4 linked regions of the Rhinolophus ferrumequinum genome follow. The protein of the gene in region 3 interacts with the protein of the main gene of each other region in a pairwise test. Links are inferred from orthologs where the notes say so. Each region holds a gene or a part of one and is shown on either strand. Other genes may lie near its edges. The genes, in order: SPTBN1, DPYSL2, TNIK and PPM1E.

Region 1 (7,984 bases), on a different chromosome or scaffold from region 3:
TATGTAGATTTAATAAAATTCACAGTTAAAATAAGTAGATTCAAATACCCAAGTTGTTCCAAACATACTTAAAAGTTTTCTAATAACTGAACATAGAATCAAATTTTTAATTTAAATTTAAATTAATTAAAATTAGGTAAAATTAATCCTCTTTCCTGCCCCTTCCTTCAACCCCTGGGAACCACCAATATGTTTTCTATCTCTATGGATTTACCTATTCTGGATATTTCATTTAAACAGAATTTTACAATATGTGACCTTTTGTGTCTGGCTTTTTTCATTATGTTAAGTGTACATACGCTAAGTATACTACAATAAGTATACAATGAACTGATATACTACAGTATGTATCAGTGCTTAATTCCTTTTATGGCTGAATAGTGTTCCATTATATGGATATACCACATTTTGGTTATCAATTTATCCATTGATGGATATCTGAGTTGTTTCCACCTTTTGGCTATTGTGAATTGTCCTACTACGAACATTCATGTACAAGTGTTTGAGTACCTGTATCAATTCCTTTGGGCATATAGCTATGAGTGGAATTGCTGGCTCATATGATAATTCTATGTTTAACTTTTTGAGGAACTGCCAAACTATTTTCCATAGCAGCTGCACCACTTTACATTCCCACCAGCAAGTATGAGCCTTCAAATTCCTCCACATTCTACCCGATACTTGTTATTTTCTGTATTCTCCCTAGGTTTACTGAGCTATAATTGACATAGAGCAGTGTATAAATGTAAGGTGTACAGCATAATTATTTGACTTGTGTATATTGTGAAATGATTAATGCAGTAAGTTTAATCAATACCCATCATAGCATATAAATACAAAAGAAAAAGAAAAAAGCTTTTTTTTCCTTGTGATGAGAACTCGGGATTTACTCTTAACATCTTTCATATATATCTTACAGAAGTGCTAACTATTGTCATCATGTTGTACATTACATCCCTAGGATTTATGTATCTTGTAACTGGAAATCTGTACCTTTTGACCACCTTTATCCAAATCCCTACCCCACCGCCCATCTGATCTCTTCCATTTAAAAAAAAAATTGAACCTATCCTAGTGGGTATAAAGTGGTATCTCACAGTGGTTTTGATTTGCATTTCCCTAAAGACTAGTGATATTGAACATATTTTTATGGGCTTGTTGTCCATTTGTATATCCTCTTTGGAGAAAATTCTATTCAACTCCATTTTTGTTGAGTTGTAAGAGTTCTTTATGTATTCTGAATATTAGACCCTTATTAGATGTATGATTTGCAAATATTTTCTCCTATTCTGTTGTCTTTTCACTTTCTTGATAATGTCCTTTGATACACAAAAGTTTTAAATTTTGATGGCGTCCAGTTTGTCTATTTTTGTTGTTGTTGTTGTTGTCATGCTTTTGGTGTCATATCTATCAATTCATTGCCTAACTTTTGAAGCACATTTCAAAAGAAAACAAAATGATAGGTTTATATCTGGAAAAAGACATACTTAGATGTTTTATTTTACTTGAAATTTACATTCACCTGCTAATTGGTTGATAAAGTGTTTATATATGTTTACTGAAAGTCCACTTCTTTTTTGCATAAGCCAAAGCTGATACACATTTTTGTTTTCTTTTAAGTTGATTTAGAACTTAGGGACACTTGCAAAGCATCCTGAACTGAATATTTTAAGGTTTTTATGATATCTATCCCTCCCTACTTTTTTATTGTTATCTTGACCACATATATTTTGATGGCAGTATTTTTAGCCTTTATCAGACAATTCAAAAATAAGCAACTTAGTTTTCACTAAAGAGCTCTCTTTTCACACTCATATTTAATTGGTTCATGTAATATTTAATTATAATAAGTGTACTTATTAAGTATAATAAGCATAACTAGCATAAACAAATTTGGGAACAAACAAAACTGACTTGGTAAATACACAGCACAACTGGAGGGAGCTGAAATATACAGTTGCAGCCGACTAGCAGAGTGTGTTTTGTGTCCATGGACATTGGTCAATATGCTTACCACACAGAGTGAACAGTGTAATCCAACAAATGGGTTAAATGAAGGAGCATTAAGAGTGCATCTGCTCTACTATTCTAGGAGTCTAAATTCAGAATTACTTGAAAAGAATTTTTTTAAACGTCGTGATATATACATAGCATAAAATTCACCATTTTAATTATTTTAAGTGTACAGTTTAATAGCATTAAGTACATTCACATTGTTGTGCAACCATCCCCACCATCCACCTCCAGAACTTTTCTCATCTTGTAAACAGAATTACTTTTTAATTATTAACATACAATGTCCAGACACACAGCTCTTATATGCTAGCTTCTATGCAGATATCTCAGACATTTAGTAGCTATGTAAAGACACTTAGTACTGGTGTCTCAGTTTTCTCATCTATAAAATGGAGTTAGTATGTACCCCAAAGAACTGACAAAAGGACAAAATGATATATGTGCTAAAAGACTTTAAAAACTAGAAAGAATTTTATAGTTGCTACTTATGATTATTATTATTGTTCACAAATTTTGAAGGTCCTTTATAACCACAAAAATGTTGTAATAAGTACTATTTCTATGGGAGACAAAGCCATATACAATCACATGGTTTTAAAAATGGAGACTAGAGTGTTACAGACATGCTATCAATGAGTTCTCTCTTAACGATGAGTTCTAGGTTCCTTTAAATCAACCTTAATTCTATTGTGACGATAATAAACTTCAGCAAAGCTGCTTTGGAGATATTTGAGAACACTCCTTTTTGTTACCATCATTACCGACTGAGGCTTTTTGTCTTTTCTAGATTCTGCTCTTCCACAGAAGCATATGTCTTCTCCAATAATCTCTCCAGATTTAGACTGTCTTTTCTTTGATCTGCTACTTTCTTTTTGTTCAGTGTACACTGTGCTTTCCTGGGTGATGATTTTTTTCCACCGAAAGGTAAGAATTTGAAACCGTGAGCAGGTACTTATAGTGAAACTCTGAATCCTTGTTTTTTACATTTTTGGAATACTTACTGCCTCTTTACTAGAGTACCTAGCTAAGGTTGTATGTGGTCTCACTTTTTGAAGGAAATTTTTAAAAAGTAAGTGGTAGTGGAATGAGGGGAGATGACTCATCCACCAAATTGAGATTTATTCAAGTACTGTTATCTGTGATAAAGGAAGCAGTTAAGAGTCACCATTTCAGAATAGTATTGGAAGAATTTAAACTGAGGCATTTCCCAGTACTGCCATTGTTCTCTTTGCTATTTCATTAACATTGTGGGTGGGGACGTGCTGGGGGCTATGCCCAAAATAAGTGAAAGGGAAACAACTTTCATTCCTAGTGGATTTCCAGTGTTGCCTAATATGGGCAGCGCTTACCTGTTGATTCTGTTCAATTCAACAAAAAATTTTTGAGCACCTCTGAAGTGCCTGCTATGTACAGTGAACACAGAACCCTGCTCTTGGAGAGCTCACCTTTCAGCTGTGTTAATAACCTTCTGAGAAAAATGTTAAATTATTTGCCTTCCTCAATTATTTATATATCTATATCTCAAATGTAAACATTGTACAAACATTCAAACTGATGGTGAAGGCCTAAAAGGAAGAATCATCTTCATGAATTGCTGGGGACAATTTCATTTAGTTTTATTTAAAAATATTAATTTAAAAATACATACAAAAATATAAACGCATCAAGCTTCAGTTCTATTGATGCGAGATATAAGCATGATCCAAACTATTTGTCTGTCTTTTATTTCTCTTTTTTATTCAGGGGTTGAGGGTTAGGTCTTTAGGGGAAAAGCCTTGGGGCTTTTGCAACCAAGAAGGGCCTCTTCCACAGAAGCTTACAGTGGGCACCGTTGGGCACCTACAGAGCAGGCAGAAAATCAGTTTCTCCAGATTGCTTTCTAGAGTTTCTAGTCTTGGTCATAGTGATGCACCGTTTTTTCCTCTCAAAAGTGCTGGTTCCATAATTTCTACATAGCCTGGGGGATTGACAGGGTTGGCCAGCTGGTTGAGAAGGGGCGAACGTCCGGTGTCCATCTCAGGATATGTGGAGAGGGGGAGAACTCAAGTCCTCAAGCCATCGCGGGGCCTTCACTGCAGCCGGGACGTCCTTACTCTCGAGCAGTGTCTCGGGAAGAGCACCCACTTCAGGTGAAAGTGAGCCAGCGTTTGGGTCAGAGGCAGGAGTTGGACGAACCACTTGTAGTGTATGTTCCCAGCTACCCAGAGGGAAAGGGTGGAAAAGCTCACAAAGGAGAAAGAGCTTGACTTTGCCGAGGAACAACCCTCCTCCCCCCATCGTCCAAGGTTTCCCACGGAGAGGTCACCATCGCTCTTTATTAGGCTGGGTGGAACCTACAAGGCACCACCACCTAGATCTGAAACCAAACCAACCAAACGACGTTCTAAAACCTCCCTCAACCCTCTCCGTAGCGTTCCAAACGCAACGTCGCGGGTGAAAAGCGGCTGCACAAGTCACGTAGATAATTAGGCTGCCCCTTTCCATGGCGATAATCGAATTAGCCTCAAATTAAACGTGAAATTGGCCCTCGCCAGCTGTGGGGACAAAGTCCCTATTGTCCCTTTGCCTGGGTAGTGGCAGCGGCGATGCCCACTGTGACCAGGCTCTCCCTGGCCAGTCTCGGCTACAAGGAACGAGGTCGGCGCTGGGCCCCGGCAGAGCTTCAGCTGGGGAGAGCGTGAACGCGCCCGAGGTTCGGCTCGCGCGTGGAGCAGGCGCCGGATGGGCGGCTGCGGGGCTCCGGACAGGCACTGAGGGCCCGGGAGAGGGAGGAACCGAGGAAGGAAGGAGGGTGTGCGGGAGAGAGCTGTGCGCGCGCGTGTGCACGCTCCCGGCGCCGGCGCGCTCCCTCTCCCCGCCCCTCGCCCCCTCCTTGCCTGCTCCCTCCCCTCCTTCCCCCGCCCCGCGCTCCAGCCCAGCCCCCGGAATCAGTGCAGCTGTTACCGTGCAGGCTGCGGATTCCTCCAGTCCCTCCCTCGGCCGCCTCTCCACCCGGAGCGAGCGCGCAGCCCCGCGCAGCAGCGCCCACCGGTCCCGTCCTGTGAGCCCCGGCCCCAGCCGCAGACAGCCCCGCGGAGTCGCCTCCCGGCCCACCCGCCCGGCCGCCGAGGAGCGGGAGGAGGACGGGACCCCGACGCCCCCACCCCTTATCCGCGGGAGGTAGGTGAGGGGCCTGAGGCTGGAACATGCCAACTCACTGGGGCTGCCACCCGGACGGGCTCCTGGGCGGCAGGCGGGCGGGAGGAGGGGCGCGGGCCCAGTCCGGCGGACGCCGCTGCCCGGCTCCCCACGGAGCGGCGTGGGGGCGGGGAGGCTGCAGAGCCAGGGCGGGGGCGGCACCAGGAGCCTGGGTCTCCAGTGCTTATTAGTGCTCGAGTTTTGCGGGGCAGGGACGGCAGGCCCCGCAGTGAAGCGGCCGCAGTGAGGCGGCCGCAGATCCTCGGTGCGCACCGCGGCCGCCCAGCCCCATCCCCGGCGCAGTGGCGCCTATTTCTCCTCCCTATCTTCGCCGCCGTGTCCCTTCATCTGGGCGCAGCGGCCTCTGGCGCGGGGGTGGGTGCACAGTGGGCAGCAGCGAGGGTATATTTTCGGGTGCCCTCCTGCTAGTCAGGCTGGTGGGGGAGCCGGGGCGGCATTGACAGGGCCCGGCTCTGCGCTTAACGGTACGGAAGATGCGGCCAGGCGTGGTCCCGGCTGCGCCGCGCTGCAGCTGAGCGGGAGGCGGCGGCCCGGTGCCCCCTCCCACCCATCCTAGTGTCCGCTCGCGGATCCGCGCCCGCTCCCCCCCCCCCGCCCTCCTGCTGTACCCACTCTCCCAGGGCTGGGCGTGAGCCGCCTGCGGGCGCGGAGCCGCCGCTGCGCCCGCCCTTCAGCTCCTGCCACCCTTTCTTCAACAGGTTTGTACCAGCGCGGAGACCCTCCCGGCCTGCCTTTGGGGTGGTGGGTTGGAAGCCCCTCTCCTTATCACCCCTTACACCACGCCCGCGGCCCTCTTTTTGAGGGGAGCCTTCCCTTTGTTTTTGTGATAGGAAAGATGCCAAATGCTATCAGATGGGGTGGGGAAGTGTTGCAGGGATCGGTACACAAACCGTGTCCATTATTTTTCCAATCAAAAGCCAGGCCACATAGTAAGTGAGGAGAAGGCAAGTGTAGGGCGCTGCCGAGGAGGAGAAAATGGATTCGGTGGGTTTGTTTGGGTGGGGATGTGCTTTTTTGGCAAGATGGATGGCTCACGGTGCCCTCGCCGTGATGCAGCACAATGCAGCAGTATCGCAGCCTCCCCGGGTTCTCGCTGGCGGGGCTTGGCACGGCCACTGGGCGCCTGCGGCCCCCACCCGGCCCCACCCAGGCCCGGGGTTGCCCTTGGCAGAGGCTGGGAACAGCATCTACCTTGTCTTGCTGTTTCAGCGGGATGTGGTGTCAGGAGGACCAGGTCACCTAGCTGTGAGGGTGGACTCTTCTTTTTGGGGTGACCCCCTCCCGCCCCGCCTTTTGGGCTGTATCCGATGAAGGGGCTTCCTGCGGCGCTAATGCGGGTAGAGGGAGCTGGCCTGCGGCTGCGGATCGGAATCTGATCTCGGACTAAGGGACCTGAGCTGTAGGGAGGGGCTGCAGGGAGGACGCGCGGCCCAGCGGTGTGCGGAGGCGCTGGTGCAGTCAGCATTGGGAGTCGCAGCGGTTTTTTGTGGATCACTCATAATTTGTGACTACAACCCAATTATCCATCGATTTCTTCCTGTATGAAAAGTTTGTGTTTATTGGAGCATCGTAACTATTACATTGCAGTACCTCTGTCTTTGGTCAATAATAAGAATATGAATTTTTCCTAGAGAAAACTATTTTTTGAAATAAAACGGTTACTGTTTTAGTTCATGTCTCCCTGAGACATTTCTAAAAATACTCACATTGAATAGGTTTTTAAAAGGAACTTAATATATTTTTTGATGTGTAGTAAATGATTAACCTGTATTGGCATTGCTTTCATCGTTTGCGTTTTCTGTAAATCAAATTACACATTTGGATGCTTTATTAGGGATTATTAGATAAATGAGTGAATTGTTACTCAGATTTTTATCGATTTAGATAGCCAAGTTCGTTGTGACTAATGGGATTGTGATGGTAACTGACTTCATTTGTGTTTGTTTATATGTATTTTTATACATATTTTTTGCAGATGTCGTTGGGGAGGGAGTTGAGAAGTGCAGACCACCGAGGCCTGTGTGGCTGGTATCTGGTCAGAAGGAGACGGTTGCCAGTGTTCTCATCTGTTTAGTCTGGGCTAATACACAGGGAATTTCCCATCTAAATGCCACTTCTACAATTCATTTATTCATTGTGGGATGGCAAATGGAATACATTTCAAATGTCACCCAGATTCTTCTAAAATGTTTAAGGGAAAAAGGGAATTTCAGTATGCTAACTAACCGGAAGAGAAGGTCAGTATTTCAAAGCAAGGGTGTGTCTACTTTTATTTTTTAAATCTCTCATGAATTCAAGTTGGTGGCATTTGATTTCACGTGGCTCTGCAGAGTAGAACTGAATGCAGATTGTGTGGTTTATGTGCATTATTTTGAGTTTCTCTTAAAAGAAGGCCATTAAAAATACAGAACTTTTTGGATTTTGGCTTCATCGGTGTCTGCTTGTATAAAATCGTGTTGCATAAAGATGTTTGGGAGTATTGTTCCCATGATTATTCAGACATTTTGGATTTACTGTGTTGTAAGAAAATATCCTGTGTTGATGTCACAGGAGGTTTAGCTGTTCTGACTTACACACCAGGTGCAGAATTCTGTTAGGTTAAGTAAGCTCTTTGTAACTGTTCTCTCTGGACTGACCTAAACCTTCATCTGAAAGTAGGAGAAGTATTGGGGCACTGAAGAAACTGTGGTCACTAGGTCTTCTCTGTTGTGCAGGGTTTCTGAAGCGGTCTCTTGGGCGAGAATACCTAGTAACAAATGTCTGTGATGTT
Region 2 (7,481 bases), on a different chromosome or scaffold from region 3:
AGTCTTATTTTTCCGTAATATATTTTACTATATAATATTGTATATATTATTATATAATATTTTACTATAAGACTAGGTCTAATCTAACATAATATAATATAAGACCGGGTCTTATATTGATTTTTGCTCCAAAGGAAGCATTAGAGCTGATTGCCCAGCTAGGTCTTATTTTCGGGGAAACACGGTAAGTAATGGCTACCTGATTCAGTCAAAATGGTGGGCCCAACTGTACTTTTGGAAATCACCATTGTTACACACACACACACACACACACACACACACACACAAATGGCTTTTGTGTCTTGAATAGTCATGAAATATTCAAACACTGTTAAGTACTGATCCTGGTAAATACTCTTAGTCATGAATGAAACAAATCCCAAAGGAACAGCCCTTACATGATAAGGCAAGATTGAAAATGAAAATTCAGGGAAGGCAGCAGAAAGACCAAGCCAGAATCACCCTCTGCAACTAATAACCAGGCAACTGAAGCAACTTTGGGTTTCCAGAGGCTAAAACTGCCTAGGGTTTGGTTTCCTCTTCAAATCTCCCTCTCCATGTGCTCTAGGTTTATCGTTCCTATTAAATTTAGAAAGTGTTCAAACAAGTAACTCTGATGATCAAATATTGGAACTTCTAAATGCATAGAAAAAGAGACGTGTTATTCAACCCAGTGAAACTTTGCCTTTCAAATCTGAGTTTTAATTCACTGCCATCATTATCAAGAAGACCACTGTCAACCAGCACCCCTTGAGCGGCCATTTTTAAAAATGATCTCTTCCTTATCGTGAGGCATTTCTCTGCGCCCTTTAGGACATTAGAATTACCAGCACAACTTGTTTAAGAGGAGGACACTCACACAAACGTGTGAGTGGCACTAGAGGTTCTGCTGTTCCTGCTATAATGATCATGGTTTGGCCCTCACCTAGTGTATTCACGTAGGAAAGCATTTCACACTCACCCAGCTTTCGTTTTAAGTTACATTACTAGAAGCTTTTACTTCAGCTGTCTGATCACTTGGTACAAAGTAAGTTTTCTGGATTAAGTTCTTCTGGTTGACTGATAGTGAAACGCGGATATCCGGTGACCCCTCCCCCATATGAATAAATCAGAGCACAGGGCTGGGAGAGAAGGAATTAAGTAATTAGTTGCCCCCTTTTGAAAATGACAGCAGATGGTTTACCTTTCCTAGAATTGGTCCAACAAAAGTGAAAAGCTGCAAAATTCTATGCCACATCAGGAAAGAGCAACATGTTTGTGCCATGAGCACCAACTCTTCGTTGTTCTCTGATGTGTTCATTAAAAGCACATTGTCTGAAGCCCCGGCAAATAAATGCTTGTGGAATCACTCAGTGACTATGTATAGGCCACTCCCAACTACTCTGAAAGCCCCGTAAGAAGAAATCACCTTGAACTTTTTCTATATAGCTAACTTCCCCCTGCCCCACAAGGCAAGGCACACAATAAGTATTCAATAAATAATCAATCATTGACTGATTTCTCATTTTCACCAATGGGCCTGGGAAAGAAACAGCAAACAAATGTTGAAACAGTTCACACTGTAATTTATCAGTTGAGGAATTAAGGCTCTGGGGGGGCTAGAGGGAATGCACAAGTATGAAGGTCACCCTGATAAAGAAAAAAAAAAAAAACAACTGTGGTGTGAGAAGACGACTGCTCTTAAAATGCACGCTGTTCTTATTCGCCAGAGATGACGAACATTTTCTAAAATCAAGGTTTACCAAATTGGTCCTCTTTGTTTCCCCATTAACACTGTATGGAGGGTGCCAATCCATCTTTGACACTGGATCCAAAATGTGAAGGTTTTTTTCCCCTTTTCTTTTCACTCTTTGAACATAATCCACTTGGTCCCTATCCCCAAAGCGCCTCCCACATAGGGCGGGTTGGGGGGAGCACGCTGGGAAGCCCTTGCTTTAATACTTAGCGGAACTTTGTTCTCCACATGGGCTATTTAGGAGCGTCTGGGTTTCTTCGGGGGACTCCACCGCCTGCCTGGTTCTTCTCACGCAGCACACTGGAGTCAGGGTGATGAGATTCTCCAGGGCGGTCCGGGAGGCGCTGACCATGGTCCTGGCCTCCAGCTCAGGACGCGAGCGCGGAAGGCAAGGAAGGAGATGCTGTAGGAGAGCGCGCGCAGGGCGCGGCGGGGAGCAGCCGTCGAAGCCCCCGCCCCTCCTGACCCCCAGGGAGCCCGCCGGCCTTCATGCAACCCTCCACTGCATGCCCAGAGCTGCATCCAAAAAAGGGTGGGGCACCCAGACACAGTTGCCATCGGAAGGCGCCCGGGAGGATTTAAGAAGAATGGAACCGCGGCCCATCCCCATCCCCCACCTTGCGACCCCCAAGCAGAGGATCGGCCGAACCTTTACCATCACCACCCATCAGGCCCAGGAAAGCGCGGGCAGCCTTTGTGGGCGCACGGCTGCCACAGTCAAGCCCGCGCCTCTCCATACCTTTCGCGGAGAAGGGGCGGGTTGGGTGGGGTGCGTGTACATATGCGGGGAGGGGCAGGACGGTGGGCACGCTGGGATGCTCGGTTCTCCACCGAGCTGTGAGGGGGGCGACGGAGGGGCGATCTCTGCGCCGGGTCCTCCTTCTCAAACACCCCCACCACCCAATACCAACCTGGTCGTAGATGTTCTGCAGGGCTTCCTTGCCCGAGGCCCGCCGGATCTCCACCTTCCGGCCGGATTCAACAGATGGCTCCCCACCCGCGCGCCGGCCCTGCCGGGAGTACGGTGGCTGCGGGTCGGGACCCAAGTGGGCGACGTCCCGTTGCTGAGCCACCACCTGCCCCGAGCCCCGGCCCACCGACAGTGAGTCGAAGTCGATGGTCTTGTTCTCCGAGGACCCTTCTACCGGGCAAAACATGCCACAGAATTTCTGCCGGGGCTTGGGGCTGCCTGAACCCAGGTTTTTAAAAAAGGCAGGGACCTCTTCGTCCTCTGCCGCCTTCCCGGATTGCTTCCTCTCGGCCATGGCGCGGGGGGCTCGGGGAGGGTCCTCTGCGTCCGCCCGTCCGTCTACGATCCCTAAGTCTGCCTCTCTGTGCACAACCCTCTGCAGCGGCTGCCGCTCTCTGCCTACCGCAAGGTGCACAGAAAGGAAGGAGGGCTGGTGAGCGGGCGACCCTCCCTCCCGGTCCCTCCCCCTGACCCCTCTTTTTCCCCTCCCTGCCCACGCCCCCCGCCGCCACGCGAGCTCCGGCGAGCTGCAAAGTTGGGTCTGGGAGGGCGGCCGCTGCGGCAGCGGGAGTGACAGGCTGCCTGCGGGTTCCCGGCAGCTGCAGGCGGAGGGAGGTGCAGGCGGGGCGCGGCGGGGGCGGGGCGAGGCGCTGGGAGCTCCGGCCCGAGCTGAGCGCAAGGGAGGGGGGGAGGGTTGCACCGCCCAGAGCCCCGCGCTCCGGAAGTGAAGCTGCCAGACCACCGGCTAATGGATGGGGAGCGGAGGGCCCGCTAACAGCTCTCGGCTCCAGGGTGAGTATGGGATAGGCACGCTGGGCGAAGACCCGAGGGCGCAGCCAGCCCCTGGCCCTCGCGCCCTTCTACCTACGCGACCCAGGCGCCTCTCCCCCACCGCATTGCGGAGGTAAACCGGGGGCTAGGGCCCTTTATGGGGAGGGCTCCCTCCTCTTACCTCGGGCATGAGCTGATGGATGAGGAAAGGGAAACAAACTGGCTGGCGACAAGACACCGGGGGAGAAGGGAAGAGGCCGCAGTGAGGATGGGGAGGGAATGGCGCAGGCCGTGCGGAGAGGTGGGGGCCATGTCCCGATGCGCGGGACACCAAAGCTTCAGTCTACCTACGGGCTTTGGAGGGCTGTTGGGGGCAGAGAGTGAAACGAGAAGGTTCTCGCTCAGTGCATCCACAGTTGTGGAGGGCGCACAGCACGGCAGGGAGAAATGCAGAGGCGGAGCAAATGGTGGTGGATGTGGGGTATAAAGAGACATAGGTCTGCGTGCTGGCGAGTGTAGCCAAGAATACAGTGCAAATTCCGGCCCAGCACAACTAATACATAGAGAGGGTGCCTGAGGGCGCCACGTACCGTAATTGCGCCACTGCGCCACGAAGGGCCCAGGAGAATGTTCTGATTTGGTATCTTATGCCCCCACCCTCCAAAGGGAGGGAAAGGCACAGATTACAATCCACTCCCCAAATCTCCAGCCCTTACTTGTCTGCCTCCCCTGTACCCCCGCCCCTGTTGCGCACTGCGCCAGAGCCGCGTGCGGGGGCGGTGGGGTGGGGGCATATGTGCCCGCGCAAGTCCAGTGTGAGGTAAGAGATGGGGCTGTGACTGAATGCTTTGAATTGTATGAGGCCAAGCAGGGTAACGGTGTGCGGAGACGTGGTTGTGTATGTGCGGGTAGACCAGGCGCAGCTACCTGGTTGGTGGATATCCAGAGAGCGTTTTGATATGTGCCAACAACACCGTCACTGAGCGCGCTTCATTGCTCACTCCCATCCCCACGTACTTTCCTTGTATCAGTCTTTGCCCCTGGTCGATTACAGCCCCGCCCCTTTTACTACGGTGGCAATATCCTGCAAAGACGATGCCCATCCTTTGGTGGTTCTAGAGGGAAGTCTGGGCATGCTCAGTAACGAGGGTGGGTTTGGGCTAAAAGAGGCTGTTTGCCGCCCCGGAAAGTGTGACCAAGGATTCTGTCCCATTGTCAGCTCTTGCCCTTATTAGGATTCGATGTGGATACTCTCCCTCAACCCAAATGTGAGGGATAGTTTGGTGAATGGAGTTAAATTTGGAGGACCACCAGTCACAGTTTGAGGAAGAGCCCACCATGATAGGTGGGAAGGAGTCTCCTGATGAGAAGGGGAGAAGGAGGAAGGAGAACGATACACGTGTAGGGAGCTGAGAGACCCACAGGTGGACATTCAGACTCAGCACCAGATGTGCTTCTAATTTGAATAAAGTGCTTCCATACGAATTACATCATTTCCTACTTACGGCAGCCTGTGAGAGGAGTGCTTTTCCATCACTACTTTCCAGGGTAGGAAACAGATTTAGAGAGATTCAGACGCCTTGCCTAAGGTTACTAATTAAATGATCCAACAATCCCAGTGGGGGTCTTCCACCTGAAAGTATGGTCCCTTTTCCAAATTATCCTTATGTTAGAAAATACAAAATTTTTTACATTTTTTCCATATCCAAATATTTCCTTCCGTGGACTTACTGTGTATCAAAATTGGTGGTTCAATTGCCATCTTTTTATTTGACAGTTACCTTGCAGGTAGGGACTGCATTTGGAGGAAGAAGCCATGGTAGTTGTTCCATAGACCTTGGAAATGTTTCTTCCTGCACATTTGATGCCTTTTTACATCTCATGTTTCCTCTAAAACTACAACGTGAGAGGAAGGTCACCCCCACATTGAAAGGGAAAGGGAGGCATGGAGAAGTCACTGGGCTCAGATCCATGAGGCTGCTGGGCCAGGGCATTATCCATCATTTTGCCCTTCTGGACCTCGGGCACACTCCATGCCGCCAGCACCTTCCAGAAGGACTGAGGAAATGTGCCTGTAGCAGGAATAGCTGCCACGATGGCTACAGGTTGGCATCTGTGGCATATGGACCTCACTCGGCTTGATGGAGAGTTTCAGGCCTAAGGAAGAATGATCATGGCCGCTTAACACACGCGGTACAACAGAACTGGGAGACTTTAGGAACGCTTCCCTTTTTACATTACATTACCCACTCTCCACTGGCTCTCTGTAGATATGCTCTCTCTTTTCCTTTTTTCCTCAAATGATCCATTCAAGTTCAAATGCTACAACAATACTGTCTTATTAGTAACTTAACATTCATAGCAAAAGAAACACCTATTTGTGCATTTGCCTAGCCTGACCAGACATAACAAAAGAGCATGATTCATAATCCAAGTTTAACTTATTTGGCCCTGAGATTTTCAAAAATTATTAAATGTATATTAAATTCTTATACCTATATTATTATATTATATTAAAGTATATTATATAAGTTGTATTGTTATACTGACATTAATTGGTTTTAAGTATTCGAGTGATTTCTAATTGGACTTTTTTCATCAAAGAACTGAAGCAACTATATTGTTTAGTAGATTGAATTGTGAAGGATAGTCATATTTTTTAATAAACTCGCTGACAGTCTTCATCATTGGATATTATCAAACTATAAAAATACACCATTATTATTTATGTGCAACAGGGCAGCTTGACTTGGCCAGAGCTAAGAAGGATGCAGACACGCCATTGTATGGAGTTGGGTGACATCTTCATATAGTAGAAGCTGAATAAATCAGATCATCGACTCTCATGGAACATTGGAACACATAAACAGGTATCCAGCCACATCTCCTCATATCATTCTTCCCGTGGGAAAGATCTTGAATCCTGGCCATAAGTGGGCTCAGACATTAATTGGTGTGTCTGATGAGTATATTGTGGGGAAGCCAGATGGCAGGAGGGTCCCCAAGAGGGGAAAAAAAATCACTAGGAGCAAAGAAGAGATCTGACAGAGTGGGACAGCACAAATACCACGTAAGGCAGAACCTTCGTCTATCTTCACTTCCATCTGTAACTAGAGTGTGGATGCTTCCTGGGAAGGAGAGGGCTGTGTGGTAACTGACCGTTGTTTCACTAGGAGTCCAAGCCACTCTGCTGTGAGACTTCTCTCCAGGAGTTCTGGGTGCCAGGGCAGAGGCGTTTCCCCACTGACTAGAGAGAGGTGAGGCGGCAGAAACCCGGAGAGTGTGAAAGCAGTTCTCGCCTTTCTCCGCTGGTCAGAGAGGGTCAACACCACCACGTGGCTGCTGGCATCCAGGAGAGAAACAGCACCCACGGGACTGCAGAGCCACAGACAGTGGCGCTGTCATAACTGAGACACTAACCACACACCTTGGGTCTGTTCTAGAGACATAACTGGAAGTGCTGAGTGCTTGCCACTGGACAAGTAAGGGTTTTACTGGTCCGTCCAGAAGACTTTGAGACTGATATTAGAGTGACCTCTCCTGGACCCATTCACTGGTGGGTTCAAGGTTCAGGAGCCCATTTAAAGGATACTTTAAATCCTAAGGCAGTGCCTACCTACACCACAAACTAATTGGTATCCGTAGAGTTAGAGCAAATACATACTCGTGAAGATGGCACTGGCACTGTTGGAGGACTGGTGCCGGATAATGAGTGTGGATGATCGGAAATCATTGATGGTGATGGGTATTCCGGTGGGATGTGATGAGACGGAGATTCAGGAGGTTCTCCAGGAGACTTTAAAGTCTCTGGGCAGGTATAGGCTGCTCGGCAAAATATTCAGGAAGCAAGAGAACGCAAATGCTGTCTTGTTAGAGCTCATAGAGGACATTGATGTCTCAGTGATCCCCAGTGAGGTTCAGGGGAAGGGGGGCACTTGGAAAGTGGTCTTTAAAACCCCGAACCAGGACACTGAATTTCTTGAAAGACTGAACCTCTTCCTAGAA
Region 3 (7,293 bases):
GAGCATTGATTGTGTACATTAAAGAGCCACTGAAACAGCAAGGGACTGGTAAGGCTGCAGCAAATTCTCCTAGAAGCCACTGACCTTGGCTGCATTTCAGGGGTCAGGCATTCCCAAAAGGTTCTCAGCAGGCAGGCTGAGGGTTTAGGAACACATGAAACCTCTCATCTCAATGAACCCACTTCTAATTGGGGAAGACAGAGACAGATGATCTGTCCTCTGATTTGTGAAAATTACCTATATGGTCTTTGGACCCACTCCTGGCCGACACACCTCACCTACCACAAGACTGGTGGCAGACCCCAGCCCTCCCACTGTCTCCACATCTGCATGTAAGTCCTCTAGGCAGCAGGCAGCCTGTTCTCCAGTCTCCTGGGCTAGCCTTAGCCCTCCCTCCCTCTTTCCATACCTCCTGCAGGCACAAATACAGAGGCAGAGCACTCAGCCCAATTCACAAATTTCAGTGAATCTTGCAAAGATATTTTTTCAAAATATAGATCTCAGGAGTGCAGGTCTCCCATGTGTGAACTGCCTCCAGAGCTGCTGGCGAGCGCTCAGGGTTGCCCACAAGCCCTGCAGGCTCTGTGCTCAGTATCTCAAAAACCCTTCCCCAAGAAAAACCACGAGAGACACCTCTGACCAAGCCCAACTTAAATTCAGAGTGCTTTCCATTACAGGAGCGATGTCAAGATTCTGACTCAGGAAATTCACACGTTTCGCCCATTGTTCAGATGCCTTCCCCAGCCTTTGCCACTTTCCCCCACTCTGAAGTCTGGACCATCCATCCACCTGATTAACTGGCTGGCACCAACTCCCAGTGCAGAAAGTAGGGCAAATGAATACACACACAGTCTGTAAAGGAAGCGACAGACTCAGCCAGAGCATCCACCCTGTTACCAACCCCCACCCCCAGCTGCCCAGGGGGCATGGGATTCTGCATGTGGCATTTCAAAGGCAGTAAAATAGGCAGCTTACTGTAATGATGCATGAATGAGCTTTTGCTGCCCAGCTATCAAAAACGCCAGTTACAAATGGCATCTCTGTTCCTTCTCAACCCCTTGACTGCCTTGCAGAAACCTCACCTTTTGGATGCAACGATTCAAGAGAAGGCGAGGAGGAGTTAAAAAAGAGAGAGCTAGGTAGGGAAAGAGGATTAATGACACTAAAGAAAAAGTGACACTTTGACCATAAAGATAGCTCTTGAAAATAACAGTGGAGAAGGAGGCAGTATCCAGAGAAGTAGTGGAGATTCAGGGATATAACCCCAAGATGCAGTACAGTCTAACAATGTACTCCTCAGGATAGAACGTGAACTTCCAAGCTTCAGCCGTCCTGCACGTCCCTGCCTTGAGAGCCACCATCAATTCGGTCTCATCCACCCTCCATGTCTCCTGTATATACAGTTGCTTTTTTAAAATTTTATTTTTGGTTCAGGAGTGGAAGAAGCCGGCTGTAAATTGGAATCTACTCCTTCTAAGACCCCTGCTGCTGTGGCCACCCCCACCCCTCATCCCCTTCCCGGCAGGCAGCATCCAATTAAAATGGCAAGAAAGCTCTGCCCCCTTCCCCGAAGGAGAGTGTTGAGATTGGGGGGTGGGGGTGGGGAGGCGTCGAGGCTGCACTGGGATTCCTGGGATTCTGGTCTCAAAACAACAGCAAAATGGATTCTATACCAGTGATGTCTTAGTCAATACAATGAAACGGTGTCTGAGGCAATTCACGTGAAGGTAAACGCAAGCCGGTGGGGCTGAGGGTTGGGAGGTGCTCTACAAAGGACTGGCCACAGACAGGGAAAACACACACACACACGCACACACACACACACACACTCGGGAGTTCCGGTCTGATTGGGGAACAGCAGAGAACACATCCCTTTCACCTGCTTAAGTTCGCCATAAAACTGAAATGTCACAGCCACAAAATCAGAAAGCACAGGCTGGGCTCAGTTTAAACCATAAATAAAGGTGAGTGGCAGACTGGCCATTAAGAGAGCGCTGAGAGGGAGTCGGGGCGCGGAAGGCAGAAAAGGGGGGAAGAGGGGCCGTTGCCATCTACAAGACCAGCATAGAAACAGCTGCCCCTTCGGAGAAGCAGGGACCACTCCGTGGGAACCACCAGGCTCATAATGTCATCTTACAGGTAACTGTAAAACGTGAGGGGCCAGTACCTTTATTCACGCTGTTATTCTTTTTGCAGAAAGAATCAGGTCTCGCGCCTTGGCACGAGACGACTGCCCCGGGCTTGTGCGCGCACACACATACTCACACACACACACACACACACACACACACACACACACACGAGCCTTTCATTTTAATGCGCTTACAAGGGTCTAAGATGAAACTGGCATAAGCTCCACACGCTCCTGGGGGTTTTTCGGCCACAACCAGTGGACACGTACCGTACAGCCCCTGCTCTAGGGGCTTCGGAGAAAGCACCTCAGCAGCCCCCAAATCCAAACGAGAACCCAGGTTCCCTCCGCGTCGCATTCGCCCGCCTCTGCCTACCAGCCCCAGTCGACGCTCCGATCCCATTCACCCTGACCCAAACCACGAGAAAGAAATCAGAAAACGTTCTACACTCACCCTCAGAGCCGAGAGATCGATTTCATCCAGGCTGCGAGCCGGAGAGTCGCTCGCCATGTCTACTTCTTCGCCAGAGAAATGGACCAAAACCACCCCGAAGCTTTTCCCTTGGAAATTCCACCTTGGTCTATTTCACTCGCGTCCTCATGCGGGTGTCGCGCCAGAGGCCCCTGGGCCCAGCCTCCCCCGCCCGCCCGGGCTCCACTGCGCCGGATCCTGATCCTCGGCGCCTGGGTCCGCCCGGTCCAGGAGCCCAACCTGCGCTGATCTCCAACCCCGGAGCAGCGGTGCGTGTGGGCTGCGCGCCCTGATCGGCTAAAGGCGCTGGGGCTGCGTGGGTGTATTTAAATGGGACATGCTTCTTTGCTTGTGCGTGGATGGCGGCTGCATTGGCTGTTATAATGAGACACATCAACTCCTCCACTCAGCTGGGGGGTGGGGGTGGAGAACCACACAGAACTGTCTATCATCGCTTCCTGGGAGGAGTAAAGGGGAGAAAGAGGCGGAGGAGGCGTGGCCTCCGACTGGGGAGAGGCCGCGCTTCCTGACCCGTTCCCTCTGCACCAGAGTGGACGGGGGAGGGGCGGGCACCCTTTCCTCCCAGGCTTTTGTGGACTAATAGGGCTGGCTTTGAAGAGTTGTTTCTTAACCCTGCGGTCCTTATCGTAGAGGCAAAGGGGCTATTTGAACACACACATTATTGTATGTCCAATTCGTGCGCTGCAGCAATATGGCCATTTAATCGCATCTGGCGGTTTCTCGGCAGGGTTCAAATGCTGTAGCGCTGAAAAAATCCAGGGAAAAAAAAGAGCGACGCCCTCCCTCCCCCATTAATTATTTGTGGGGCTGGAGTAACGCAGGCTGGTGCAACCGGTGCATATAAGGACTTGTGTGCAAGGAAAGGGATCCGCCTCCAGCCGCGGAACGAATGGGGGAGAACGCGCGCTCGCACGGTGCGCCCTGCCCCGCGCCTCGGCAATTTGCCCCCGCGGCTAGGTGGGGTCCGCCAGCGGCCCGCGGGCTCCCGGATGGCGGGTCACTCGGGTAGGAAGGTTTCCCAGAAGCGGGAAAGCTGGGAGTCCGAGTTCCCTCTTCGCACCGCCACACCCAGGACCTGCCCGTGCCGCAATTCCCCCACGGAAACAACCGAATTGAAACGAGAAGCTTGCTCTCTGGGTGCACTAGCTCTAATTCTTCAGGTAACTCCAAAGGCAACACTGGGTAAGGCAGCGCACGCCGACTCAGGACTCTACATTTGTCTTTCAGGGAACGTTACCGCGGCTGATCTACCCAGATTGATGGAGAAAGTTTGGCTGGCGTATGAGATGTAACAGACGAGATGTGCGACCAGAGAGCAATCCCACTCCACCCGCTTTCTCATTTAAAGGCTGAACATTTACAGTGGTAAACATGACATTCAAGAGTAATCAAGAGTGTGAAGTCGCTTCCTCAGCCCTGCCACTGCCCTCCCTAGCCTTGCCCATCCTGAATACATACGTAGAAAGAAACGCTAAAATTGAACTTTTGCTCAAATACAGCAGTAGCTTTGAAAGCATCACCGTTGCACCTCTGTTAAGATAAGATTTACTTCTGGCCAAATGCATTGAGGATTTTTTTTATCGTGTAGATACCAGCTTAAGAATAAGGCTTTTGAATGAATGGATGGATGGATGGATGGATGGATGGATGGATGGAAGCCCAAGCAGTTAGTTCGTCAGGACTGCAGACATTAGAAGGCTTTTAAACAGCATTCGATAGGCGCTGTGCTGTTTTTGTTATTATTGTGTTTATATGCACTGTGCATCATGAAACTTGAATAAGATTACAGCTCAATGGCCACAGAGTTGTTTAGGAGCTTTTGCCATTAAAACGACAAACGTTTAAACGTGTTATATTCAAAACGCTCTATGTGATCTCTTATTTTTTAATAAAATCATCCAGCTCAGGGTGGTAAATAACGGTTTAGTAAGCCACCGAGTAATGTCGAAATGACGTAGAAAACTATCATTTCCTATTATTATCCTTATTTTTCCCATCTAAGTGCCTTTTTTACCCTTAATCTAGATGACAAGTGTTGAATAAAATTAAGTAAAATCAGGTATTGAGATCTATGAACAGCACTATTGCTAAAACTCCGAACATATTTAAAATGAGATAAACTTTGTTTTTTTCATGGAGAACCTTCATTTTATACTCCAGATTTTATTTGAAACATCAGAAATGGATCATTTCTTTCGGCATTAGTATGCTGTTTCAGACCATGAGAATGCCGTAATACCGGCACTACATTCTACCCTTGGATTTAGAGTTAGATCACAAAACTATATATTCTGTCATTTGGTACTACATGGGAGAGGGCTTCCTAGGAGCCCGGAGGATGACAAGAGTCAGGTAGAGGCAGGGGTGCTGGCTGCAGGAAATACCATAAGAGGAGAGGTACAATAGCCAAGGCACCTCCAGCTGCTAAGGGAAGAAAAGGAGGAAACTTGAAGCAGCTGGTGCTAGAGGTGGAGTAATAGTGGTTACTGGCCTGAGGAAGACAGATCAGATCAGGTAGAGCTTGGTAAACCTCCTGCCCTGTTGTTATTTGCTTAATATTTTCTTTGAATCAACATTTTTTTTTACATTTAAAAGGAAACATAAGTTACTACTATAAATGGAAAGCTAGCAACACTTGCTAAAAAGAAAAAAAGAAGAAGGGAACCATTAAAATAAATATAATGGAAAATAAAGCAATATCATTAAATTCTACTTAGCGATCATGGCCTGCTTCAGGCTTCTATTCTGAGGCCTGCTGTTAGGTAGTTGTTAAAAGAGAGGTTAACAAAAGCCAGAAAAGTCATTCAAAATTTTACCAAAGTGAGATTTTCTTCTGGGTGTAATCCGAGAGATTGAAAGAACTGCTATCATATATATGCAGTTTGAAAGCCTGCAGAACAATACGATATTCTGTTTATATCTATCTAAATATAAAAAGCATGGACATAGGCTTGTATTCTGTTTATATCTGTCTTAACTATAAAAACCATGGACACAGGCAGGAAGGATATAGATTAACTTCAGGATAGTAAGAACGGAAGAAGAAAACTAAAATGGGAAGGCACAAAGGAGCTCCAACAATGATGTCTAATTTATTTTTTTAAATATCTCAAGCAAATATTGCTAAATGCTTGGAATTGCTAAATCTGGATCATTACACTAATGGCTATTCATTATATTGTTCTCTGTATCTTTTTGTATATTTGAAATATTTTTGTTTTAAAAATATTTATAAAAAAGAGAATTCCAAAGGGGGTTATGTTCTCTGTATTAGGTTCAATGTTGTTTATTGTCAAATCCAACTAAAATAAACATTGTGGAAATCAGTAACACTGCTGGTGGAGCTTCTAAAAGCACACTGTACATCTTATGTCACCACAAATTCCTAAATATAACAGAAAATATATTTTAAAAAATTCATTAGAGTTCTAGAAGACAAAAAAGGCAGCATCCATGGTCTAGCAATTCAGAGGACTTCCTAGCGTATAAGACACAGGCAGGATTGGACTGCCAGTTGAGATACAAACCAAAACTGTATGGGGTGGGACCAGAGTGAGAGCTGGGGCAGCTTCAAACTCAGAGGCAAAGGCTAAAAAGAGCAGGTACTTTCATCATGAAGAACGATTAAAGAATGGCATCCATTCATTCTTTCATTCATTCAACAACTGTATGGATCATTTACTCTGTGCAAGACACAATACGAGGCCCTGGAGATTTTCCTTCATAGAGTCAGATAATACACTTATAACTAATTGATAACTAAGATTATTTTAGATGGTGGTAAGTGAAATGAAGAAAATTAAGCAAGGTAATGAGAATTAGCAGGTGGATGTGTCCACCCCCAGCCCTGACACCCACTATGAGTATGGGCGTTCGGGCCAAGGAGACAGGGTATCACCCCAAGGAACTGATCACCAAGTGCTAAGAGAAATGGGACCACATACACCCACAAGCAGAAGGTAAACTATCTGCATGCCCTGCCTTGCACCATGTCCTCTCCGGCCCCGCTTCCCAACAACCACATTCAGCAAAGCAAACACTCAGAATTAGAATCCACATCACAAATAGGCAAATGAGATTTCCAAACAGTAAGATGAGTAGATAACCCAGAACACTAATCATTTGTGGAAACCTATTACTATGAAAGAGAGGCACTAACTACAGTCAACAAATGAATTAAAACACCCAAAGTTATTTTTAATAGCGCAAAAAGAAGTTTTAATATATATATAATATATATATATTATATAAATATATTATCCTCAGAGGGATAATAGAGGACTTTACATTCATGAAATAACCACATTATTATGAAAGCAAACCAATTAGAGGACTAATTAAGAATATATTTATTGAATTTTTTATATGAATAGAAAGATTAAACAATAATAGCTAATACTGCAGACTCTCCCAAGTATTCACGTATTAGCGTATTTAATCTTTATACTTACAAAATAGACAATATTATTAGTATATTTATTTTACAGATGAGTAAACTGAAGAATAGAAAGGTTAATTAACCTACTCAAGGCAACACAGGAATAAATGGCTGAACCAGAATTTGAACTCAGGCTCTTAATCACCATGCAATATTGACTCAAGCTAGACTGAAGGGTGAATTAATAAGCTAGAAGATTGTGCTCAGTTTTCTCCCAGATTGCAGGAGACA
Region 4 (7,201 bases), on a different chromosome or scaffold from region 3:
GGAAAAAAACCTAAAAAGTACAGTTAATACTGGATGGTTGGTATTTATTTTCTTTTCTTTGCTAATGTGAATTTTCTCCACTTCTTATAGTGAACATTTATTACTTTTTAATAAGAAAAAAGATGTAGTTTTAAATGAGTATTATAACTTATATTGAGAAATGTTGGAATCTTTTATACATAATCTGTCATTTCTGAATCTGAATCCATAGTTTTCTTGTCTGTAAAATAAAGTGCTTGGTCAGAAAATGATCTATCCCAACAGTGCCTTCCAATATTGATTCTTGTAACTAAGTGATATGATTTCCTTTTATAAATAACAAAATGAAAACTAAAAGCATTAAAAGTATTTTTTTTTAACACTTAGGGTTTTTTTTTTTTGGTGGGGGTATCTGTTTAAGAATTTTGAAGTTACTTTACATGAACAAGCCAGCCATTTTATATCTGAATAAAAATAGGTTAATAGCCCCTGCATAAAACACAGTATAAATGATGAAATCTCTGATTTAAAGCAAAATATTTTCCACCTTTAATTTTGCTAGTTTTACTTCAAATCCAAACTTCTATTCTCAATTAGATAGCCATTTTACCTTTTCAAGTTTTATGCATATCAAAATTAATCTTGCTTTCCTTCCATATGGAAAACATATGTCTACCTGCCATCATCTTTATATAGGTTTCATTTTTTAAAAAAAACTTTTACTGGCAAATGTTTGTGGCTGTTCTAAACTAATGAGTCTCTTTTTAATGGACCTTCTCTGTTTAAACGTATGTTTAATTCTGCAACTGTGTTTGTAAAGGTAAGAACTGTCAAAATAGAATTAGTCTGATGCTGAGATAAATTCTCCCACTTTGGTAAACATTTCCATTTTCTTTTTAGTAGGAAGTTTTAAACGTCTTTAAAAATGACATTGCATACGCCCATTTCTATGATAATTTACAAACACTAGGAAGACTCTAAAATGTTAACACTGTTGTCTCTGGGTGGTGCTATTACATGCCAATTTTTAAAAAAAATTTCCCAAAAAGCATTATTACTTTGGTAATCGACAGTATTTCCAAATTAAATTTTAAATAGCCTATAAAGTGTGGAACATCACTACAGCCTGCTTCTACAGCAGATGTTAAATGCTTTTTGCCTATTGATAAGCTTCTGCTTTCACAGGAAAATGATTTGATCCCCGGTCACGTTGGATAAAGACAAAACATTTCCTTTCCAGGCCCTTCTCTTAATTTAGGCTTCTGAGAAAATCCGAGAAGTGAGTCTGAATTTAATTGCAGTGAATTGTGCAGTAGTAAACTTTTGTAGGTCCGGAGTAACACCTTTCATTACAACTATCAGCAGAATGGCAAAAGATTCATTCCCAGGTTTACCAATGTTTCCAGAAACTTGTTAGTATTCTCCTCTGTCATTATTTCAGAACAATTCCGTTTAGCAAGAGACGCAATTGTAAACCGTTTCTATTTCAAGCCCATAAAAACCAGAACTGGGATGAAAGGCAAAGCCTTGACCTTTCTATTTTCGACTTTTCATCTGTGTAGCTAAGCCATCTGCTTTCTCTCCCCTACTCCATCTACTTAATGGACTGAAAATACTGCATCTAATTGCAATTTTATCAAACCAGCCTGACTTTTCCACTTTAACGACTTAGGGCTTTTTCAGGTGTCCTTCACCTGAGGGCTCGCGTGTAAAATTTTGCTTACTCTTCCCTCCCAAGTTCTCCCCGTTTCCCTCAATTAGGAGTTATCAAATATCTTTCAACTAGGATGCTAGGCGCCCATGGATTAAGCCATCTAAAGAGCTCTTCACTTTCCACATTGAGCGCCTGGCAGAAAAACCTACTCCAGTCTCTCCTCATGCATGCGGCTACCAGGCGGGTATTACAATCATTGTTGTCGCGGTTACGCAGGAAGCATCTCGCAGCGCAGCCTAGAACCGAGTCTCGTCTCCAGCCGCCAAACAAGGCGCTCAGAGAAAAAGACAGACCCGGGCGGGAGAAAAACCTCCTAGAGGCAGGGAGCTGGGAAGAAGAGGGAACTCTCAAGACTGGAAGAAAGGACCTTCGGAGGCACGAAGGAGAAAGGGTGTGTGTGGTGAAGTGGAGCAAGAAGTGGGCGGCCGAGATGAAGCTGGAAGAAAGAGCCGGGCCCGGCAGGAGGGCTCAGGGGTCGGAGGAGCGGCTCCGGGACCAGCGGGAGCACCGGGACCTAAGCGGGCGTGGGCAGCTCGCACGCAGCCTACCGCCCCAGTCCGAGCAGCGGGGGCGCTTCCAGCGGCGCCAGGCGCGGGTGTGTGTGTGGGGCGGGGGGGTGGGGGGGTGAAGAGCGGAATAGAGAGCAGTTTGAAGGGCCGACGCGGCAGGGACAGCGGGCCCACCCCCAACCGAGCCCCGCCACTTAACTATTTGTAGAGCTGCTGCAGGCACAGGTCCAGGCTCTCGCCCTCCACCTCCTCGCGGGTGATGCGCTCCGACAGCGGCCGCAGGAGCGGGGGTAGCGGCGGCAGCTGGGGCTGCGGCGGCGGCAACACGGCCGACTGCCCCGGGGCTGCCGCCGCCTCCTCCTCTTCCTCCTGCTCGCCCTCCGCTGCCGCCACCGCCTCCTCCTCGGGGTCGGGGTCTTGCTCTTGCTCCCCCTCCTCCGTGGCGGCTACCGTGACCGCCTCCTCCTCAGGCTCCTCGACCGAAGCCTCGGCCGCCTCAGCGGCTACCAGTTCGGGCTCCGGCTCGGGCTCCGATTCGGGTTCGGGTTCGGGTTCCGGCTCCGGCTCGCCGCCGCCGCAGGGTCCCCGAAACTCGCCCAAGAATAGCTCCAGGAAGCGCCGGTAAGTTTTCTCCTCAGGGATGCAGCCGGCCATCGCTGCTCATGCCCCGGGGCCGACCGGGAAGTTGGGGCGGGGGGGGGAAGCCCAGGAAGCGGAGGGGGCTGCTTTCGAGCCTCGGGCTCCCGCAAGGGCGGTTAACGGCCGCACCGGCACGAGCGATCAGCACTAGGTAGCCTGGAGAGGGCTCCCGCAGGCGTGCGCGCCGCCGAGTGCGGACGTGCGCGACCCGGGGGCGGGGGCGGAGCGCGCCTCCCCTTTCGGGTCTGGAGGGAAAGTTGGTGGCGGGCGCGCGCTCAGGGTCCAGCGGAGGCCCACCTCCTAGCCCTACAGAGAGCTCAGCCCACGCTGCCTAGAGACTGTCGCCATGACAACCAGCTCTAATTAAGAATTTCAGGGTCCCTCCCGTCGAGTCCGCGTAGTCGAACGGACGCTAGACTTCCCGCTCTCCAACTCTGAATGTCTTTATTGTATAGCTACCATAGCCTCAAGTGGATAAAGTGAACTAAGACATCTCCAAGTCTAGCTGTTGGTTCCCACTTTGATTGGATTTACTTGTCTTCCTTATCTGTTCCTGCCTTGCCCTTAGAGCCTTTAATCAGTTGAAAGATACCACAGTGTGAACACCTTTTGTTGTTGATGACACTCCTTTAATAAGTATGATAGTTTGGGACAGGGGAGGGCATCAAACACCTACCAAGTGGTAGGTTTCTTTGCATACTTTCTCTCATTTGATTCTGCGAAGAAAGTGGTGTTTCCTCATTTCTCACAAAGAGGAAACAGGATTTTAAATACTTTACTCGCTTGGAGGTGTCAAAGCTACTAGCCATGACATCGGAATCAGAACCCAGGTTGTCAGCCTCCAAAGCCTTTTTCCCTTTTCTTTGCCTCTCAAGATTCAACAGTGCAATGTCTGTAAAGCCTTAGTTTTCTAGGCTTTTCTAGTTTACAAGTTGTTTTTCACCCCTTTAATCCTTACAATAGTGACTCAAGGTTAAAGACATTACCATTATGATTCCAATTTACAGATGAGGAAACTGAGCGTTAAAGACATCGTGACTTTGCTCAAGGTCACACACGTGATGCAACACGAACAAAATCCAGGTCTTTTCACTACAAAGCCATTAGTTTTCCAGCACACCAAGACACCCCTCTTTAGTCTCTGCATAATACATATACTTTATTACATAATATGTATACATTTTGTTAGCTCTTCTTCCCCAACCCCCAGCTTCTTTTCTTTCTTTCTTAGACTGAAACTGAAACGACTTTAAATTATTCTGATTTTCTTACCAAACTACACACAAGCCTATTATTTTCGAGCCCTACTGGGGGGTTGGGAGAGGCAGAAGCTGTGTTGTTATACAGCTGTATAGATGATAGCATCCTTACTGCATACTTCCATGTCCATGGCAACATATAATTCAGCAAAAACATAGTGATTCTTTTTCTACTTTGAAAAACTCACAAATTATCAACCCATCCTCTCCATTTATTGTTTCTGGGTTTCAGTTGGATTTAGGGTCTGAAATGCTGTTTCTAGTCAGTTATTAATGGCAGGAGAAGTCTCCCTGCCAACTGTTTTCATATAATACTGTGTTCTAAATCCCTGACCTGATACTGTTATTTTAAGATTAAGTGGGCTGAGCTCACTAATGTACATTGTGGCATCATGTAAAATAGAGGTCCATTCTCTCTCCCAGCTTGAGATTAAATAATACATGATAGAAAATGTAGAGTGAGTAATGCATGAGTCCCCTATAACTATTTATTTTTGTCTCAAAGGTAAATGGAAAGACTCCGTAAATAAGTCTGTTTCTACACAAGCTAAATGTATTTGTGTTTTGTTTAAAATATCACCAGTGTAGAGCAACTTCTCTGAGATGCCAAGAAAGTCTTTCACCTCCTGCCAAGAAAGTCTTTAAACTCCTCATTTATCTTTGTTTTCAATCCACCTGTTCATTTCCATTTCAGAATATCTAGAAAAGACTGACAAAACTTTTAAGACTGTACACCTAAATGTCCAGGTTAACATTCTAACAACTATTTAACATCTCAGAATTAGAAAAGATAACACTTAGTTCAAGAGTACATAGCTGTCAACTGTAACAATTCATATCAAGCTACACCTTCCTACTTTGTTAATGTAGTTGCCTTCCTCATCTAGGTGACATTTATTTGTGACATTAATTTATGACTCAACCCACATATCAAAGGGAACTGTTATGTGTTGGGGAAACATTACTACTAAGAGTAAAAGAAAAAGCCCACACCTCTATATTTCTATAAATGAGAGACATGTTTGCTTATATTAATGAAGATATTCCTTCACAAAAGATCAGTATGGATTCTAGTGCATCCATTTGACAGAGTAGCTTTGCCAGAAGGTTGCTGACAGCAGTGCTGGGATCTCAGAGCAGCTGTGTAGGATGACTTTGCCATTGTCAAGAAATCTTTTCAGTCATTATTTTGCATTGCTTTACTTTTTCAGTTCCTCTCCTCTTACACTTCCCCAATCCCCTTTTTTACTAGTTATTAAAAAATATTAAGCTATGAAAAGTATATGTTATCGAGGGTATTTAAATATTTTTGAGATTGTAAAGAATTTTTTTCTCATAAAAATTGTTCTCCCTCTAATCCTTAGCTCTTTGGAGGAAATGCACAATGTCTTTTCGCGGACATTTACGGTAATGATATTTATAAGGTTATAAAGAATTGCTGAGTTTGGCAGTTTCTTATCATATGACCCAGCAATTCCTCTCCCAAATATTTACCCACAAGAAATGAAAACATGTCCACCAAACACATACACACACACCACAAAAATCTTTGTACATAATGTTTGCAGTAGTTTTATTCATAAACTTGGAAATAACCCAGATGTCATCAATACGTAAATGGATAAACAAATTGTGGTGTATTCATACAATGGAATACTACTCAACAATAAAAAGAAATGAACTACTGATAAACACAACAACATGGATGAATCTCAGAAACATACTGAGGGGGGGAAATCCAGGCACAAAAAAGTGTATACTCTATGATCCCATTTATGTGAAATTCTAGGACAGGCAAAGCTAACCTATAGTGACAGAAAGCAGATTAATGTTGCTTGGGAGTGGGCATGAGGTGGGCTGGGGGATTCATGGCAAAGGAGTAAGAGGGATCTTTGTGGGGTGATTAAAATATTCTACATCTTGACTGGGTGGTTATATAGGTGTATTCACTTGTCAAAAATTATCAAAGTACATTTTAAGTAAGTATATCATATGTAAATTATACCTCAATAAAGTTGATTTTCAAAGTTAGAAATAAATGATTATTGTGTTACTCCTTGTCCTTTTTGCTTTCACATCCATTTCTTTTCCTCCCTTGTTCTGCTCTATATTTGGGGAGAGCCGACCCTTTCAGGCTGTATTCACTACTGTTCCTTGACAGCTGACTTTCAGCTGAGATTTGCCCAGTGGGAGGCATTGGCAAGAAACTGGAAACTGAGAGGAAAGGAGAAAAGCCAGGATATTTCTTCCCTATCCTACCAGTCCTAATGCCTGCTGCATTTCCTTTGTAGCTTTGCTCCCCCAATCACATCCACTGGGATTCCAGCTTTTGCCTATGACACCAGCCCCTGAGCTCTAGAAACATCACCTTCTTCCATTTGTCCATCAGCCTAGAGATGGTAATGGCTTCTAGCTTCCTACTCTTGACTGCTATAGACTGAGTATTTGTGTTCTCCAAAGATTCATATGTCGAAATCCTAACCCCCAAGGTGATGGTATTAGAAGCTGGGGCTCTTGGGAGGTGATTAAGTCATGAGGGTGGAACCCTCATGAATGGGATTTAGTGCCTTTAAAAAAAAAAGAAAAGGTCCAGGGGTGGCTGGATGGCTCAGTTGGTTAGAGCGCGAACTCTCAACAAGGTTGGGCGTTCAATTCCCACATGGGATGGTGGGCTGCATGCACCCCCTGCAACTAAAGATTGAAAATGGCGACTGAACTTGGAGCTGAGCTGAGCCCTCCCCAACTAGATCGAAGGACAACTACTTGGAGCTGATGGGCCCTGGAGAAACACACTGTTCCCCAATATTCCCCAATAATAATAATAATAATAATAATAATAATAATAATAATAAAAGGTCCAAAAGAGACCTTTTCCACTTCTGCTATGTGAGGACATAGTAAAAAGATAGCCATCTGTCAACCAGACACTGAATTAGCCAGAGCCCAAATCTTCAACCTCCAAGCCTCCAAAACTGTGAGAAATAAATTTCTGTTATTTGTAAGCCAACCAGTCTATGGTATTTTTCTTATAACAACCCAAATGAACTAAGACACTGATTTACCTTCCCTTTTGGCTTTTTTAGCTCTTCTATCACTTGTGC

Evidence for each region.
Region 1: the proteins of TNIK (region 3) and SPTBN1 interact in a two-hybrid assay, tested with the Homo sapiens proteins (2 studies listed by BioGRID and IntAct). The link is inferred for Rhinolophus ferrumequinum from reciprocal best matches to the Homo sapiens genes TNIK and SPTBN1.
Region 2: the proteins of TNIK (region 3) and DPYSL2 interact in a two-hybrid assay, tested with the Homo sapiens proteins (2 studies listed by BioGRID and IntAct). The link is inferred for Rhinolophus ferrumequinum from reciprocal best matches to the Homo sapiens genes TNIK and DPYSL2.
Region 4: the proteins of TNIK (region 3) and PPM1E interact in a two-hybrid assay, tested with the Homo sapiens proteins (2 studies listed by BioGRID and IntAct). The link is inferred for Rhinolophus ferrumequinum from reciprocal best matches to the Homo sapiens genes TNIK and PPM1E.

Annotation. Positions count from the first base shown.
Region 1 is NC_046296.1:33,100,155-33,108,138, reverse strand, and holds the start of SPTBN1 (spectrin beta chain, non-erythrocytic 1), read left to right. Parts: upstream 1-4,976; 5' UTR 4,977-5,175; intron 5,176-5,892; exon of another isoform or gene 5,893-5,912; intron 5,913-7,984. UniProt on the Homo sapiens protein: Fodrin, which seems to be involved in secretion, interacts with calmodulin in a calcium-dependent manner and is thus candidate for the calcium-dependent movement of the cytoskeleton at the membrane.
Region 2 is NC_046301.1:40,889,251-40,896,731, forward strand, and holds the start of DPYSL2 (dihydropyrimidinase-related protein 2), read right to left. Parts: upstream 3,016-7,481; 5' UTR 3,001-3,015; coding exon 2,647-3,000; intron 1-2,646. Other genes in the region: PNMA2 (paraneoplastic antigen Ma2), read left to right, coding at 7,149-7,481.
Region 3 is NC_046285.1:71,065,075-71,072,367, reverse strand, and holds the start of TNIK (TRAF2 and NCK-interacting protein kinase), read right to left. Parts: upstream 3,013-7,293; 5' UTR 2,643-3,012; coding exon 2,586-2,642; intron 1-2,585. UniProt on the Homo sapiens protein: Serine/threonine kinase that acts as an essential activator of the Wnt signaling pathway. Recruited to promoters of Wnt target genes and required to activate their expression. May act by phosphorylating TCF4/TCF7L2.
Region 4 is NC_046304.1:27,053,200-27,060,400, forward strand, and holds the start of PPM1E (protein phosphatase 1E), read right to left. Parts: upstream 3,020-7,201; 5' UTR 2,857-3,019; coding exon 2,402-2,856; intron 1-2,401. UniProt on the Homo sapiens protein: Protein phosphatase that inactivates multifunctional CaM kinases such as CAMK4 and CAMK2. Dephosphorylates and inactivates PAK. May play a role in the inhibition of actin fiber stress breakdown and in morphological changes driven by TNK2/CDC42.